Linked DNA regions of Drosophila melanogaster. The gene in region 2 interacts genetically with the main gene of each other region. Each region holds a gene or a part of one and is shown on either strand. Other genes may lie near its edges.

Region 1 (5,679 bases), on a different chromosome or scaffold from region 2:
AACGTATGCCGGTAGGCAACCAACCAACCAACCAACATATTCTGGCATCTACCAAGTGCTTTGCCATAGCCAATTAATCCCCAAACTGCCCGCAGATGCCGGTGATCCAGGCCATGGGCATACTGAAGAAGGCATGTGCCGAGGTCAACAAGGATTACGGACTAGATGGCAAGGTGTCGGATGCCGTATCCTGCGCCTGCGACGATGTCATTTCCGGCAAGCTATACAAACAGGGTCACTTCCCATTGGTCATCTGGCAAACCGGTTCGGGCACCCAGACCAATATGAACACCAACGAGGTAAGATTGTTAGATAGGGCTAACGAGAGAAATGTGTATAGCTGGATGCTTCTCCTGCCCCATGCCATTGGCAAACCTACTAGGTGATCAGCAATGCGGCCATTAAGATGATGGGCGGCGAACTGGGCAGCAAGAAGCCGGTGCATCCCAACGATCATGTGAACAAGTCGCAGAGCTCCAACGACACCTTCCCCACGGCCATTCACATTTCGGTGGGCATGGAGCTGAACGAGCGGCTTGTTCCGGCGGTTACACACTTGAGGGATGCCCTCAAGTCCAAGTCGGATGAGTTCAAGGACATCATCAAGATCGGACGCACCCACTTGATGGACGCAGTTCCGCTGACTTTGGGCCAGGAATTCAGCGGTTATACACAGCAGTTGACCAACGGTCTGGAAAGGATCAAGGGCTGTCTGCCGCGCGTCTATGAGCTGGCTCTGGGCGGCACTGCTGTGGGTACGGGTCTGAACACACGCAAGGGATTCGCCGAGAAGGTGGCCAAGCGCATTTCGGAGCTAACCTGCTTGCCCTTCGTGTCGGCGCCCAACAAGTTCGAGGCACTGGCTGCCCGCGATGCCATGGTGGAGGTGCATGGTGTGCTCAACACGATCGCCGTCAGCCTGATGAAGATCGCCAACGATATCCGATTGCTGGGATCGGGTCCGCGTTGCGGTCTGGGCGAACTAATGCTGCCGGAGAACGAGCCCGGTAGCTCCATCATGCCCGGCAAGGTGAATCCCACGCAATGCGAATCAATGACCATGCTGTGTGCCCAGGTGATGGGCAATCAGGTGGCGGTGACCATCGGCGGCTCCAACGGGCACTTCGAGCTAAATGTATTCAAACCCCTGGTCGTGTCCAATGTGCTGCGCTCCATTCGCTTGTTGGGTGAGTCGGAAATGTGTTTTCCAAGTGGAAAAACATGCATACATAACCTTCTCCTCCCAGCTGATGGCAGCATGACCTTCAGCAAGAACTGCGTGGAGGGACTGCAGGCCAACAAGGAGAGGATCGACAAGATCATGAACGAGTCCTTGATGCTGGTGACCGCGCTGAATCCGCACATTGGCTATGACAAGGCCGCCCTGATCGCCAAGACGGCGCACAAGAATAAGACGACCTTGAAGGAGGAGGCACTGAAGACCGGAATTACCGAAGAGCAGTTCAAGGAGTGGGTCAATCCCAAGGAGATGCTGGGACCGAAGTGATTCGCTGTGCGGCTATTGACGATTTTGTTTTAGTTTCGTGTAATAAATTTTTGTGTGTAGCAGGATATTTCAATAGATTGTATTAATTTGTTGATTTTACGGCAGGTGAATAACGGTTTTTAGTTTTTGAATTCTCCAAATGATTCGAGTCCACACTACGCGATAGTCATTATCGATTCTAAAGATATACCGTAAGTGTGGTCACACTAACGCCTTGCTGTTTCTAAATTATTCCGTTGTTTTTATCGTAAATTCTTGCACACTTAGCTATTATTTTATAGCGAAATATAAGCAAAGCAAGCTTTTAAACAAGTGTTTATTGCGGCGCACATTTTCCGTGACAAATGAAAAGATCCAGCTGACCAGCGATTATCTAACGACCAAATCGAATCGAAACGAAACGTTGAAGTAGGCGCATTACATTAAAAATTGGCTGCCAGGCAAGTTGGAGGTCGTAAATTAATCGTTTTGTTCAGTTGAAAATAGCCCAAAATCAGTCTAGCCCACACAGATATCGAAAAAGGCGATATATCTTTGGATAATCATTGCAAAAATAAACCCTTTCGATTCGACGATTTCGCCTTGTAGTTCTGCCACCACCGCCCCCACACTTCGCCCCGCAGCTGCACCACAACCACCACCACCCACAAACAGAAAATTTATTTGCGACGCAAAAACAAAACAATCGAATCGAAACGAACCGAACCGAAACGAAACGACAGCAGCTGTTTGGTTATAAATCGGCGCTATCGATCGCACACATGAGCAAAATTGGCGGAGAAGAAGAGGAAGCAGCAGCAAGAGTTAAGCACCACAAATCTTAAAGAATAGGTAAAAATTAAAAATTAAATTAATAGATGACAGACCGTTTAAGGTGCTTCATTCAGTTGCAGGCACTAGGAGCCGAGGTCTTTGCGGGCCGAAAGATGTCTGTGAGACTGCTGACCGTGCGACTGATCAAACATGGTCGCTACATTTTGCGCAGCTATTGTAAACGTGATATACACGCCAACATTTTGGACCAGAATCAATTGAAGACAAGAAGCAAGCGAGGCTTTCCCCTACCCTCCACCGCTGCCAATGTGCTGCGGGTAAGTCAAGCTAAACGGATGATCAAGGCATGTCCAATTAACCCGCATCCAATCTCTTCGCCAGACAACGCCCCAGCAGGCGGCCAAATCGGTGGTCAATGTAGTGCCCCGCACCATCAACTCCCCGTCGGGATCACCGTTTAATGGCAGCGGCAGTAGCCCCACCAGCAGCAGTGGAATCTTCCGAGTGGGCCAGCATGCGCGCAAATTGTTCATCGACAACATCCTCAGCCGGGTGACCACCACCTACTCGGAGGATCTGCGCCAGCGCGCTACCCGCAAGCTATTCTTTGGCGATTCAGCGCCCTTCTTCGCCCTGATTGGCGTTAGTCTGGCCTCCGGATCGGGTGTGCTCAGCAAGGAGGATGAACTGGAGGGCGTGTGCTGGGAGATTCGGGAGGCAGCTAGCCGGCTGCAGAACGCCTGGAATCACGACGAGATCTCCGATACGCTAGACAGCAAGTTCACCATCGATGACTTGGAAATCGGTCCGCCCATAGCCAAAGGTTGTGCCGCTGTCGTCTATGCAGCGGATTTCAAGAAAGATGTTGCCTCGGATGGTGCATCCCTGCATACCGATGCGCAGCCGCAGGCAACGCCAGCCTTTGCGCCGAATAGCTGGAGTACCCACGAGATGATGTCGCCGCTGCAGAACATGTCGCGCTTTGTTCACAACTTTGGCGGCTCTGTGGACAACGTCTTCCACTACAGCCAGCCATCTGCGGCCAGTGATTTCGTGGGCGCCCAGTCGAGGGAACAGGACCAGCGGCACCACGAGCAACAGCAGCATCAGAATCAGGAACAAGAGCAGCATCAGAACCAGGAGCCCAGCAGCAGTGCCTTCAATGTGGTAAATATGTAAGCTTAAATCTGCATGGCAACTTGCCATCACGCTCTTTGCTTTAACTTGCAGACTTCTCCAGCGAATTCAAACATCAACAGCTCTGTGGACAGTTATCCACTGGCACTCAAAATGATGTTCAACTACGACATCCAGAGCAACGCTCTGTCCATACTGCGTGCCATGTACAAGGAGACGGTACCGGCACGCCAGCGCGGCATGAATGAGGCCGCCGATGAGTGGGAACGTTTGCTGCAGAATCAAACTGTTCACCTGCCGCGGCATCCGAACATTGTCTGTATGTTTGGCTTCTTTTGCGACGAGGTGCGCAACTTTCCCGATGGCCATCTCCTGTATCCGGTGGCGCAGCCGCAACGCATCAATCCACAGGGCTATGGCCGCAATATGTCGCTGTATCTGCTGATGAAACGCTACGATCACAGTCTTCGCGGCCTGCTCGATAGCCAGGATCTGAGCACGCGCAATCGCATCCTGCTGCTGGCTCAAATGCTCGAGGCTGTCAACCATTTGAGCCGTCACGGCGTTGCCCATCGTGACCTAAAGTCTGATAATGTGCTAATCGAGCTGCAGGACGATGCGGCGCCGGTGCTAGTGCTCTCCGACTTTGGCTGTTGTCTGGCGGACAAGGTGCATGGCCTGCGCCTGCCGTACGTTTCGCACGACGTCGACAAGGGCGGCAATGCGGCGTTGATGGCGCCAGAGATCTTCAATACGATGCCCGGTCCGTTTGCCGTACTCAATTATGGCAAGGCCGATCTGTGGGCTTGCGGTGCCCTGGCTTACGAAATCTTTGGCAACCGCAATCCGTTCTATTCGAGCAGCGGTGGGATGGCGCGCGAACGCGGTGAGATGACGCTTTCGCTGAGGAACAGCGATTACCGACAGGACCAATTGCCGCCAATGAGCGATGCTTGCCCGCCGCTGCTGCAACAGCTGGTCTACAACATCCTCAATCCCAACCCGTCCAAGCGGGTCAGTCCGGATATTGCGGCAAATGTGGTGCAGCTGTTCCTCTGGGCCCCATCCAATTGGCTTAAGGCGGGCGGCATGCCCAACAGTCCGGAGGTGGGTCGCAGTGTTTGATACCACATCAGCATCCTTTTAAGCTAATTATGATTTTTTTTTACAGATCCTACAGTGGCTCCTTTCGCTGACCACTAAGATTATGTGCGAGGGTCGTCCACAGATGGGCGCCGGATTGATGCCAGTGGCCAGCTGTGGCAATAGGCGCGCCTATGTGGAGTACCTGCTCATATGCAGCTTTCTGGCACGCGCCCGGCTGCGTCGCATTCGCGGCGCCCTCAACTGGATCCAGAATGTGGTGGCGTAGGAGAAAAGCCTTCTACTTGTTACTCTGAGAAAATCAAATGGAAAAGCGTGTGATACCTATATTTTACATATGTATTTATAAATGAAATCAAAATTAACGCCAAAAGCACGCCTCCGGTACAATAATTATTGACCCTCCTGATCTTTCTGATTCTTCAGCTTCTGCATTTTCGCCACCAGCGCCTCCTGTTTGACCAAACTCCTGTCGAGCTTTTCCATCACCTGCCTGATCATAATTTGGAGTTCCGCAAGATGTTTCTCCCAGGCCACATTCTGCTCCTCCAGCTCGATAAGCTTATAGAGATTGGCCTCGTTTGAGTCTTCGATGTTGTCTATAGCCTGATCCAGGCTATCCTCGGCGTCCAACTTGTTTGGATTTTGTGGGGGATGCTGTGCGGAGTAGAATGAGGAGTTTATAAAGTTAGCAGGATCTCTACGTTTAGTACTTACCATAACTAAACAGTTCAAGTTCATTCACTTCTCTGAATTCGCAAACTTCGAATGAAAATGCGCTGACAGAACTTACGATAACCGCACCAGGGCTGAGCCGATTGCATGCGTTATCGATATCGCCTGCCAGGGATGTTGGCAGTTTAAAATTAGTTTTGGAAAACTTAGGATATCCCAAATGCCATGAACAATTCTGTTTTTTCCGCAAACTATTATACAAACTATAGATAGTTGAAAAACATAAGCCAGCAAATGTTTATTTTTCTTTTAGTTTTTAGTCACATAACATAATATACAGATATCGAATTCATTTGTTAATATCCACGCGACTCACACACAACGTGTGATCATAAAAGGAGCAAGTGGCCATGGTCAAGGACGCATCGTCCTTGTTTCTCCATGGTGCCCAATCGGCCCCGTAGCAGATGCTCTTATGCTCC
Region 2 (5,898 bases):
CGTTGATGGTAACACTGCTGAGGTAAGAAGAAGACAAATTTTGCTCGTCATTGGGAATTGACGATTCACTGAATTTTTGATAAACTCAACAAAGTAAACGCATTATATATCCCGTAAGTAGTGCAGCGACTACTAATAACCCCAAACCGATCACGGCACCATAAAACACTTTCGAGTTATGCGCCAAAGAAAGTCGTAATTACAATACGTTCTTCATCCAATCTTCGCCAGCTCTCAAGAAGCACCCGCATCATGTTTGGAAGACAAAGTGGACTGGGTAGTTCCAGCAACAGCAGCAACCTGGTGGAGTTCCGCGCAGGTCGCATGAACATGGTGGGCAAGATGGTGCATCCGGATCCGCGCAAGGGCCTGGTCTACATGACCCAGAGTGACGATGGCCTGATGCACTTCTGCTGGAAGGATCGCACCTCCGGCAAGGTGGAGGACGATCTCATCGTCTTCCCCGATGACTTCGAGTACAAGCGCGTCGATCAGTGCAAGACGGGCCGTGTCTATGTGCTTAAGTTCAAGTCATCGACACGCCGCATGTTCTTCTGGATGCAGGAGCCCAAGACGGACAAGGACGACGAGCAGTGCCGCCGCATCAACGAGCTGCTGAACAACCCTCCATCCGCCCACCAGCGCGGCGGCGGCGGCAGCAACGACGGCGACCTCCAGTACATGCTCAACAACATGTCGCAGCAGCAGCTGATGCAGCTCTTCGGCGGCGTTGGCCAGATGGGTGGTCTCAGCTCGCTGCTGGGCCAAATGAAGTGAGCATTTAAACCCTTGCAGCCATAGTGTCCAAGAACTAGTCAAGTAGATAGCTTCTTAACTTACAGGGTATCGTTTTTATTGTTTATAAGCATGTAATCGAAGGAATGAAGCCAGAACTTGAGTTCACCCCCTTTTTCAATATTTTCCTTTCTATATTCTCCGCAGCTCCCGGACGCCCTCGTCGCGCAACACCTCCTCATCGGGTGGCGGTGGGGCATCGGCCTTGCAGACGCCCGAAAACGTCAGTGTGCCGCGCACTCCGAGCGCTCCATCGAAATCGGGCAGCAGCCGCAGCAGCAGCAATGTGAACTCGCAGGTCGGCGAAGGTGCCGGCTCCTCCGTTGATGCGGATGCCCCCGGTAAGAACTCAACCACATCGACCACAACGGCGTCAAAATCGACCGGAGCCTATGCCAATCCATTCCAAGCCTACTTATCCAATCTCTCCCCCGAACATGGCGCAGGACGATCCCTGAATATTGACCTATCGACGGCCCTACCCGGCGCCGATGCCATCAATCAGATAATTGCCGATCCGGAGCATGTCAAGACGCTGATCGTGCACCTGCCCGAGTCGGAGGATGTGGACGATGATCGCAAGCAGCAGATCAAGGACAATATCACCTCCCCGCAGTTCCAGCAGGCTCTGGCCCAGTTCTCCAGTGCCCTGCAATCGGCCCAGCTGGGACCTGTGATCAAGCAATTCGAGTTGTCCAACGAAGCAGTGGCCGCCGCCTTCTCTGGCAATCTAGAGGATTTTGTGCGTGCTCTGGAGAAGAGTCTGCCCCCCGGTGCCACCATGGGTGGCAAACCCTCCGCCAGCGAGAAGAAGGCCAGCGATCCCGAAACCCCAACTTCAGTGGCCCGCGATGAGAACACAGATCCCGCTACCGAAAAACAGGAGGAGAAGCAAAAGTAGCTTACGTGTGCGGCTTGGTAGTCATTGATATGGAATCCGAAAGCAAATTTTTTCATGTGCTGAGTGATTTTTGGATGCTAAATAAATTCAAATGGGAGTTAATCGGTAGTTATCTATCTAATTGTGTGTTTGATATACATCAAAACGGCTTATTAATTTATATTTAAAATATTACTACTTTAATAAAAGGATACGCGTTTTGGTAAGTACTCGTCCAGCTCTTTTCAGAATGCATCATTATACTCATTATACTTGGGTTTTTGGCTTACCTAATTTAATTTAAAAAAACAAAGTCTAACGTGTACAATTTATTTTAAATTTTGAAGTTAATAATGGGGGGATATATGGAAGTAACGGTAATATTAATCCCGACAAGGTCATTTTGTTGGTGTCCCCCTAACAAAAGCTCGCTGCCCCGCTCTCTCATCGCAACACACTGGTCGTCCCTTTCTGGCGCGAATTGCGCGCTCTCTCAGCGAGAGCCGTCTCACACAGATATATACACACACAGGCACACGCAACAATATTTATTTTATTCAATTCCAAAACGGCCAGCAAATAAGTTGTGTTTGTGCAAAACTCGCGCGTTCGCAATTTTCCGAAGCTGACTCTCAATTCTCATACATAACGATCTCAAGCGATCTCCGCCAGGCGAATCAAACCCGGATATATCCAGATCTGCAGTAATTGCCATATTTTTTCGCCAATTTTTGCGTTGCGGGCTGGATGTTTTTGTATCTGTTGTTGTTGGTGCTTTCATTTTGCAGCAATCTCTGTGCCTGTGTGTGTTTGTGTGTTGGTGCTTTTGGCGGACGTGAGAAGGTGTGTGTGTCTAGTGGCAGCCTGTATGTTTTTTTTTTGCATGACTGCTTCGCGGAGCTGTGGGGAAAGCTTTTCCCTCCAAAGTAGTTGTCATAAAAAAGTTAAAAGCCGCGGCAAAAACAAAAATCAAAGCAAACACAGAAAGCGCGAAGAGAGAGGGCAGTGAGACAGAGAGAGAGAGAGTCGAGTGCCTAACGCACACCGACAACCTTTGACTCACACGCACACACACGCGCGCTGTTAAACAGGCCTGGAAGCTTGCAAAAAATAAAACTAAATAAAATAGGAGCTGCTTAAGAGTGTGTGTTGTCAAATAGCAAAGTAAACAAAAAGCTCCCCGGACTCGCAATTTCATGCATATCTCCGGCGCAACGATCTGGCAACACTAACAACAACAGCAGCCGCACAAACTGCGTTTTAACCAATTCCATTTCCATTTCCTGCACTTATCTTTCTCGTTTCTTCCAATTAGCGCTGGAAAAGTAACGTCCGCAACGGTTTAAATCCAGTCGAGACGCAAACCCCACTCAACTCCTTAATGAGTTCCCCTCCATTAAACGGAATTCACCAAAAAAAACGATTGATTTGCCGCTGATAAAGCTGATAAAAGCGCACACACACACCAAAGTCAGCTGCAATTTTGCGATAAGGTAAGTACAAAATTATGAATCTTTCAATTTGCCGGCAAATGGAGGCTTCCAGAACAGCTGCAGGAGCTGCAAGTAAAATGGAAGTGCCCCAAAATAAAAAAAAAAAAAAAACAAAAATACAGGAAACCAAAACACTAATGGCGCCTGAGCATATGCTTTGGGAAATTTTCAAGAGCGCCAAGCGTGTGAGCGCGGGGGTGCGAGAGGGACGACCGTACAGACAGTGTTTATGTTTTGGTAGAAAGGTCACATCCTTAGCTTCCAATAGAACTTTCGTTCGTTAATATCCCCGCCATCCACGTCCCTCGCGAATTACGTCACGAATCGACGAAGAAGTTCGTGTCGACAGGTTTACATGCTCTTGAACTTTTAACAAACTAATAATACCCTTTTATACAGTTATTGCGATAGGATTATATGATCCAATCCTAAACCGATTAAAATCTTATCAAAACATTGGGGAGTTAAAATTTATATGAGTTACTAACTTATAACAAAAACCAGTAATTTAAAACCAATTTGTAAGGACTTATGCTATAATTAAACAAAGCTTTTTAACGTTTCTAGCGACATATTAAAAAAAGGTTTTATAAGTATAAAAAACTTATCGGTTTCAAAAACTTAAATTTGCTATGTTATTAATGCGCAAGCTCCAATTTGCAATCTTATGATCGAAGCTATAATACCTCGTTCGCAACTTCAAAATTTAAAAGTGGGTGGTGAAAGTTTTTACGACGTGACTCCTTCAAAACGGCTGGCGAACAGGCGGGGAGAAAGCTTGCAGCCTGACATTGAACTTGGGGGCACTCTGAACAGAATTCTATTAATCACAGGGTGCCGCAGCTTTTTGGGGCAACTTTCACCAACCATTTTTGCAGCTGCCACACTCCAACAGATTGTTGCCAGTTGCAGCCATCGATTTCGTCGCAAATACGTACATATTCACACATTTAGAGCGCGCCATTTCAAAACTTTAGCTCAAAGCTTGAACTGCACAGTGCACTTTCTTCCTTGCTCCCCCATTAGAATAAGACTTCAATTCATCTCAACAGCTGTCTTGGCAACAGAGAAGCTTTCTCCACTGCCTGTTGCATCCTTGTTGTCATTACAAGAATGCAGATGATCATTCACTTGGAGCAGTAACAAATTAATGCCACAATTCATGAACAAGTCTGTAGTGGTCCACCCCAGCCACGTCCACCGTCCACTTTGCATGGCCCATTTGGTCGACTTCCTGCGGTCCAATTACCATTGGCTCCTCCCGCCCCATTGTGATTATAAGCTTTGGGACGGCAGGCGGCTCTCCGATCCGCTGACATCAGCAAGCGCAGCAAACAGCAGCCGCTGCAGCAGCAGCAGGAGCAGATGATTTTCCGGTTTGCCAGGGACCGAAAAACTGGTTTCGAATGGCGAAAAAAAAATGAAACAAACGACAGGCTGACCGAATCGAATCGAGCGCTGCCCTTTTGCACAGTCGGGCCAAAAAGACAATACAGTGCGGAGTGTTTGTTACATGTTAGAGCGTATATATATTTTGAAAAGTACGTGTGCGGAATTGAACAATACAATTGGCTTAGAAATCGACGGGCTTGATGGTGATGAACCGGGAGAGAATGAAGGCCACCAGAATGGTGGCGCACACGAAACAGAAGGCGAACATGTAGAAGCTCTCCTCGGTGAAGATGTCGGAGAATGCGGGTATATCCTGGTAGATCTTCTCGATCACCGCCAGTGTTCCTTTGTGCTTCCTCACCATCCTGATGGTTACTTCTTCTTGGTTGCCTTCTTTCCGCCGCCGGCGCCTCCTGCTAGTTTCTGTTTCTCCGCCTTGGTCAGGACCTTGTTGGTGATCTCCTCGCGCGGTGCCAAGCTGGACACGTGCTTGTTGCACAGCTGCAGCAGCTCTAGTGTGTTTAGGTTATCGCTGTTGAAGCGGATCTCCTTGACTTGGGCTTGTTCTGTGAATGATATAATATCAATAAGTGTTTGCTCTTTGAATGTTGCAGTTTCAAAAGGGTTAACTTAGTTGCCCACGCTAAAAGGAAACCAATTTTTCAATACATATTTCATATGTATTTTGGTTCCTTTTAGTTAGATATTTCAGCTGTCCCAGTTTAGGTATTCTTACCTTGCGCTGAATCAATCAGGGCAAACTTGATGTTGGCCGGCTGGCGATCGCAGACGATTTCTGGCTTGACCACGCACTTGGGATTCGTAGCTGCCACTTTGGGTGTGGAGAGCAGGAAGAGGAATTCCCTGAAATTAGAATTGAAATAGATATCTAGATTATTGATTTATCATCACGATTTACTTGATTTTTCAGGAGCAGCGACGCCGCCTCAAACTGACGCCGACACCGACTAAAATGTCCACGGAGCGTGAGCTGGCTCCCGGTGGGCCAGCTCAGCTCCATCCGCACACGCTGCCGCTGACTTTTCCGGATCTCCAGATGACCTCCACCGTGGGCATCATTGGGAAAGTCTACGGTGAGTGTGGCACGCATTTATTTCATTCCCCAACCCCATCACCTTTTTAGCCCTCGAAGGATCGGTTTTTCTGGTGTGAATACTTCACTGCACCCTTTTTGGTTTTTCTCAGTTTCTTCTTAGTATGATTTTCTTTTTCCTTTCGGTTTCGTGAAAATTCTATCCAATTTGAGTGGTGAATAGGGGGTGTAGTGCGCATGTCCCGCTATCGATATCGGTGAAAAGCGCTTTTCCGACTCACCGT
Region 3 (4,487 bases), on a different chromosome or scaffold from region 2:
TGCTGATTTCCACTTGGCTCTAAGCTTAAATAATCTAATAAGAGAGTATTAATTATGCACTTCATTGTATTAGCAATAAGTACAGCTCAACTTACACCGCCCATTGGTATATCGCACCATTACTGACAATGCATTTGGTTCCCTGTTCCCTGTAGTAAGTCCATTTAAAGCTTCCAACGCTCTATCTGTGGTTATAATGTCGGCGTGTCCCCAAAGTGGATTATTTCGTTGTAGCCGTGATCCTGGGCTGATTGGATTCTGTCCATGATGCCTTACTGAGCGCATTGCATTATCACTTGGTGTACGGACTCTGAATTGCATTCTCCTTCTACGATTGCGTCGCCGCGATTTTACCCTAAGGTCTGGAGTTTCCCGATTCGTAATTCCAAGTGCCTGTCCAATCAAATGACGGCGCAAAAATAGCAAGTTAACTAGAGCTCTACGGCGACGCTTCTCAATACAAAATTTGGTTTTATTCATTGTTATTTGTTTAGGCCTTTATTTAGTACTCACAATTGCCATAGTTCGGTTATTTGCACTACATTTTCTAGGGCGACAAGCACCCATTGTTACACGATTTTGGTTGACTAACGAATTTAAACTTGTTGTTGAGGAAAATCCCTAGTTGTATATCCTGCCGCTGGTAATGTTATACTGACAATGATTACGAGCTCCCTTGCTTGACACGTGTCAATTCTCAAAAAAAGGCTGCTTCGATTAAGTTTTTCTTTCAAAAATGTTTATTACTACAAAAAAGTTCATAAATAGGTGGGAAATGTGACTTAAAACTCTATGTGCTTAAGAATACTATTACTCTTACGTGCTCTAAAACTTTGGAATAGCTGGGAAACAAGTACAAAAGTACAAACTAGAAACGTTCAATATATAATAATACACGACCAACAAGCAATGGGAACATGAATGGAAATCAATCAACTAGGGACTAGAACAACGCTTGAGTGGCTCAGTAATAGTAGTTGCGATGAGAGATCTTATCCCGATCCCCTAGCAATAGATGGGATCCGTGCTGTTGACTGGGTGATATGTCGCGTCCATTTGAATGTTCCACGAGTTGTCCACTCCCGTATTGCTGTAGTAGTAGTCGGCGGACTGCATCTGATCCTGCGGCTCCTGTTGATAATTGGTGAGATGCGGAAAAGTTCCCTGTTGCTGATGTTGCTGATAGGCGGTTGCTTCGTCGTAGATGAGATCCACGCCACTGGTCCCTCCGCCATTCAGAGTTGACTCAAACACACTGAAGATCTCCGAGCTGGTTGTGTAGAAACTTGCATCCTGGCTAAGATTCTGGCTTTGGCTTCCATTGCTCACGTCCAGCGAGTTGGGTAGATATCCATTGTAGTAGCCATAATCCTCGGAACAGTAGCCCGAGCTGCTGGTCAAACTGGACGTATCGTCGCATATTTCATACGAAGGCATTCCGCACTGAAGGCTGGAGGAGATTGGCTGGCTGGGATCATAGCTGACTGGTACATGTTGCTGCGGTGAGAGTTGCTGCTGGTATTGTGAGTGCTGCAGTTGCTGCGGTTTGTTCTCCTGGTAATAACTGCCCGTGGAGCTATGCGCTGAGAGAGGTGAGTGGAGCATATCGTAGGAGTACATTCCATTGGCATAGCATGGATCCTCCGTTTCGTAGTGAATCTCTCTATTCCACTGACTGATCACTGATCCTTGTCCTGCTGGGACATATGAACCCTGAGATTGATTAAAGTTGGTGCTATGTGTGGGCGTCGATGTGGGCAGGTAGGTGGTGGGTGGCACCACTAACTCCTGCTTGGTTTCGAGCACATCGGAAGCACCCATCCTTCTGCGCTTGCTCTCCTGGATGGACTGAGTCTTGGCCTGCCGTTTTGTGGGTCTCAGGCTACTCAGCTTGTCGCTCAGCGCCGATTCCCTGGCCAACATTACGGCCAAACTTCGCACACGTCTTCCTCCTGCCAAAAGTCGCCTGGCTTCCGTGGATCCCTTGGCTTCGGGTCTGGGGTGATCGTGGGTGCCCTTGGCCTGGAAATAGATTCCATTTCCGTCCCTGCGCCAGAAGTGGGTCACTGGATAGCCGCAGTGGCCGCGGCAAGCCTGGATTTCCAAGCGACCATTGCAATTTCTGTCAAGAAAAAAAAATAAAAATACCGAGTTAGTTTTGACAATTCTTGGATTTTGTGTTTAGTCAAAAACCCACCTATTGGGACACTGTTTGCCCTGCTGCTTCCTTCTGGCCTTGTCGCAAATGGCGGGTCTCAGATGCACACTGGCTCCATTGGGCAACTTGCACTTGGCACTGCAGAGGAGCACTCCCAGGCAGCTCTTCTTTAGGATATTCACGTTGTGGTTGTTGGTGTTTCGCATGGCCCAACCGCTGGCATGTTTCCTGGCCTCATCACTCTGCACGGAGTAGATGAGCCGGCAATGTCCGTTGGACCAGTCATTGAAATCGTCAAACTCCCCCACCGACGGCATCTTGGAATCGTTGATGTCCCAGTCGATCGCCACCCGGGACTTGGTGGCCGGAGGACTGGGCACAGGCATGGGCACTGGCATCGGTACTGGCATTGTTATAGGCATGCCGTTCAAAACCATTTTTGATGTGTCTATGTAATCGTTAGTTTCAAGTTCACACGCGGTCACTATAGTTTTCCTTCTCAATAGTCTATTACTACTGTGTACTTCTTCTCAACTTTTCTCTGGAGCGACGCGTCCGTTCGCATCGACTGCGCAAGGCTGACTAACTGGGCCCGCTCTGCGCAGCACAGTTAAGTTGCCAGCGGTCGAATCGCACGAGGGTTGCTCGGTCGCAAAGCGGTACGCCCATTGGTCCATGCTGACTTCCAGTTCGGGTGCGCTTGTGTGCGGCTTATCCGCCTTATCCGGCACTCCAGTTTGGGAAATTAGGAGAGTTCCCGAGCAGGTTTGATTGGTAGTAGTGGTAGCAGCAGCTGGAGATGGAGAATTCGTTCTATAGGGAACTGGGAGCTGGGAGAGCTTGAGCACAGGGAGCTGGGAGCTGGGAACTGGCAACTGGGCAGGGAGACGAGTGCTGTGCTGCTCTAGCACCTGCGGTTGCAGCACGCGCTCCACTGGGTAATTGTACGATATGAGAACCAGGGGTTTGAGGCACTCGATGGCAAAGAACACGGCCCCAACCCCAGTCAAAGCTAATTAAGTTCAGAAAAAAAGTTTACAACATCAGTAATGGAAATGGAGATGGGGATGGGGCTGTGTGTGGATGGGGATGTGCTGTATGGCATGGGTTCTGATGGGTACACCTGGCGACAGTCACTGGCAGATGCCAGTGGTCGGGCCTATTTACTTTCGAACTGGATGTGGATGTCGAAATGGGGAGCAAAGTGAAATGGTTGGAGGGCAAGCAGAGTTACGAACAAAATGGAGATGGTTCCAACGAAGCACGGAAAGTAATTTAGTTCAAGGCTTTAAGACTTTTTTAATGCGGACATTAAAGCTGCTAAATCTACTTAACTTCAGAGGTAGAAATTATTCTGTAAAAAAATTTCAAAATCAAACGTAAATTTTAATGGAAATGACTCACAGAAATATAGAAATATTACCACTATATATAGTCACTATTATAGAATTTGGTAAGGCAACGGTATAGCTAACGGAACTACTTCTCACGATCTCAAAATCGATAAAGAAATAAACGTTTGCAAAAAAAGAAACCGAAATGTCGAGCTCCTGCCGATATCTTCAAGATGAAATCAGGGATCTCATAATCGTAAAACACAATTTAGCACGCAAAAAAACGGAAATCAAAAAGAAGAAATCCCATATTGGAAAACCTCCCCTACAAACCCAAAGGCAAATGCCATAACTCACGCATATGAATGAAGCAAAGTTTGCCAAACAAATTCCTTGGGCCCCTTGGCGATCTCAAGTCAGAGATAAACGAAACAAACATAATCATTAAGATGACGAAAGGGTGAGGAAACTCCATAATTTTCACACTTCCACGACAGACCAAATGCCATGCAATTATGACACGAACTGAGCGAGCAACCCGCGGCGCCTTTCTGCCAAGGAGTCGCCCAAAGATCAGGATCGTAGCACGCGATAGGAACTCAAAGGATTACGGCGGACAATGGGAAAGGGTGCTCCGACCGGGACTCGAGGGGCGTTGACACAGAAGAAAGTCATGACGTGGCATATTATGAGGCTGTGCTGGGGAAGCACATCCTACCTGGTCCCAGATTCCCGCACTCAAGGTGGGTGTGTCGCCTTAATGATGCCCGGAATTAACTGTTCCGTTTCAATTACGAGACATCACTTGGCAATCAAATTTATTTGACACTTTCTCTGCGGGGGCCAGTGGAGAACAGAACTCTTTTCTTTCCCAATGAAACTCAGTCCAATTGCGGCTATAAAATTCGACCAAAAATTACGCATAAATGTCATCGTAAATTCGGCATCTACCCTATCCGTCGGCGGTGTCGTGGGAAGTTACGCCCCTGGCATAT

The links.
Region 1: of AGO1 (region 2) and Pink1, changing one suppresses a phenotype caused by changing the other (phenotypic suppression), as found in Drosophila melanogaster (one study listed by BioGRID).
Region 3: of AGO1 (region 2) and gcm, changing one suppresses a phenotype caused by changing the other (phenotypic suppression), as found in Drosophila melanogaster (2 studies listed by BioGRID).

Annotation. Positions count from the first base shown.
Region 1 is NC_004354.4:6,682,124-6,687,802, forward strand, and holds Pink1 (PTEN-induced putative kinase 1), read left to right. Parts: upstream 1-1,717; 5' UTR 1,718-1,947; exon of another isoform or gene 1,948-2,004; 5' UTR 2,005-2,338; intron 2,339-2,394; 5' UTR 2,395-2,433; coding exon 2,434-2,598; intron 2,599-2,662; coding exon 2,663-3,448; intron 3,449-3,511; coding exon 3,512-4,525; intron 4,526-4,589; coding exon 4,590-4,790; 3' UTR 4,791-4,915; downstream 4,916-5,679. Other genes in the region: Fum2 (fumarase 2), read left to right, coding at 1-11, 96-299, 383-1,187, 1,248-1,507; CG44303 (uncharacterized protein), read right to left, coding at 4,916-5,179, 5,240-5,242; CG3184 (uncharacterized protein), read right to left, coding at 5,547-5,679.
Region 2 is NT_033778.4:13,954,443-13,960,340, reverse strand, and holds the start of AGO1 (Argonaute-1), read left to right. Parts: upstream 1-2,251; 5' UTR 2,252-2,379; intron 2,380-2,990; 5' UTR 2,991-3,168; intron 3,169-4,660; exon of another isoform or gene 4,661-4,741; coding exon of another isoform or gene 4,742-4,924; exon of another isoform or gene 4,925-4,932; coding exon of another isoform or gene 4,933-5,126; intron 5,127-5,296; coding exon of another isoform or gene 5,297-5,424; intron 5,425-5,479; exon of another isoform or gene 5,480-5,491; 5' UTR 5,492-5,533; coding exon 5,534-5,654; exon of another isoform or gene 5,655-5,843; intron 5,844-5,895; coding exon of another isoform or gene 5,896-5,898. Other genes in the region: Rpn13 (regulatory particle non-ATPase 13), read left to right, coding at 253-773, 943-1,696; CG33155 (uncharacterized protein), read right to left, coding at 4,742-4,924; mRpL53 (mitochondrial ribosomal protein L53), read right to left, coding at 4,933-5,126, 5,297-5,424, 5,896-5,898.
Region 3 is NT_033779.5:9,578,998-9,583,484, forward strand, and holds gcm (glial cells missing), read right to left. Parts: upstream 2,749-4,487; 5' UTR 2,596-2,748; coding exon 2,198-2,595; intron 2,123-2,197; coding exon 1,006-2,122; 3' UTR 568-1,005; coding exon of another isoform or gene 514-567; 3' UTR 501-513; downstream 1-500. Other genes in the region: CG31709 (uncharacterized protein), read right to left, coding at 1-34, 96-450, 514-567. UniProt on the Drosophila melanogaster protein: Transcription factor that induces gliogenesis. It determines the choice between glial and neuronal fates. Also has a role in the differentiation of the plasmatocyte/macrophage lineage of hemocytes.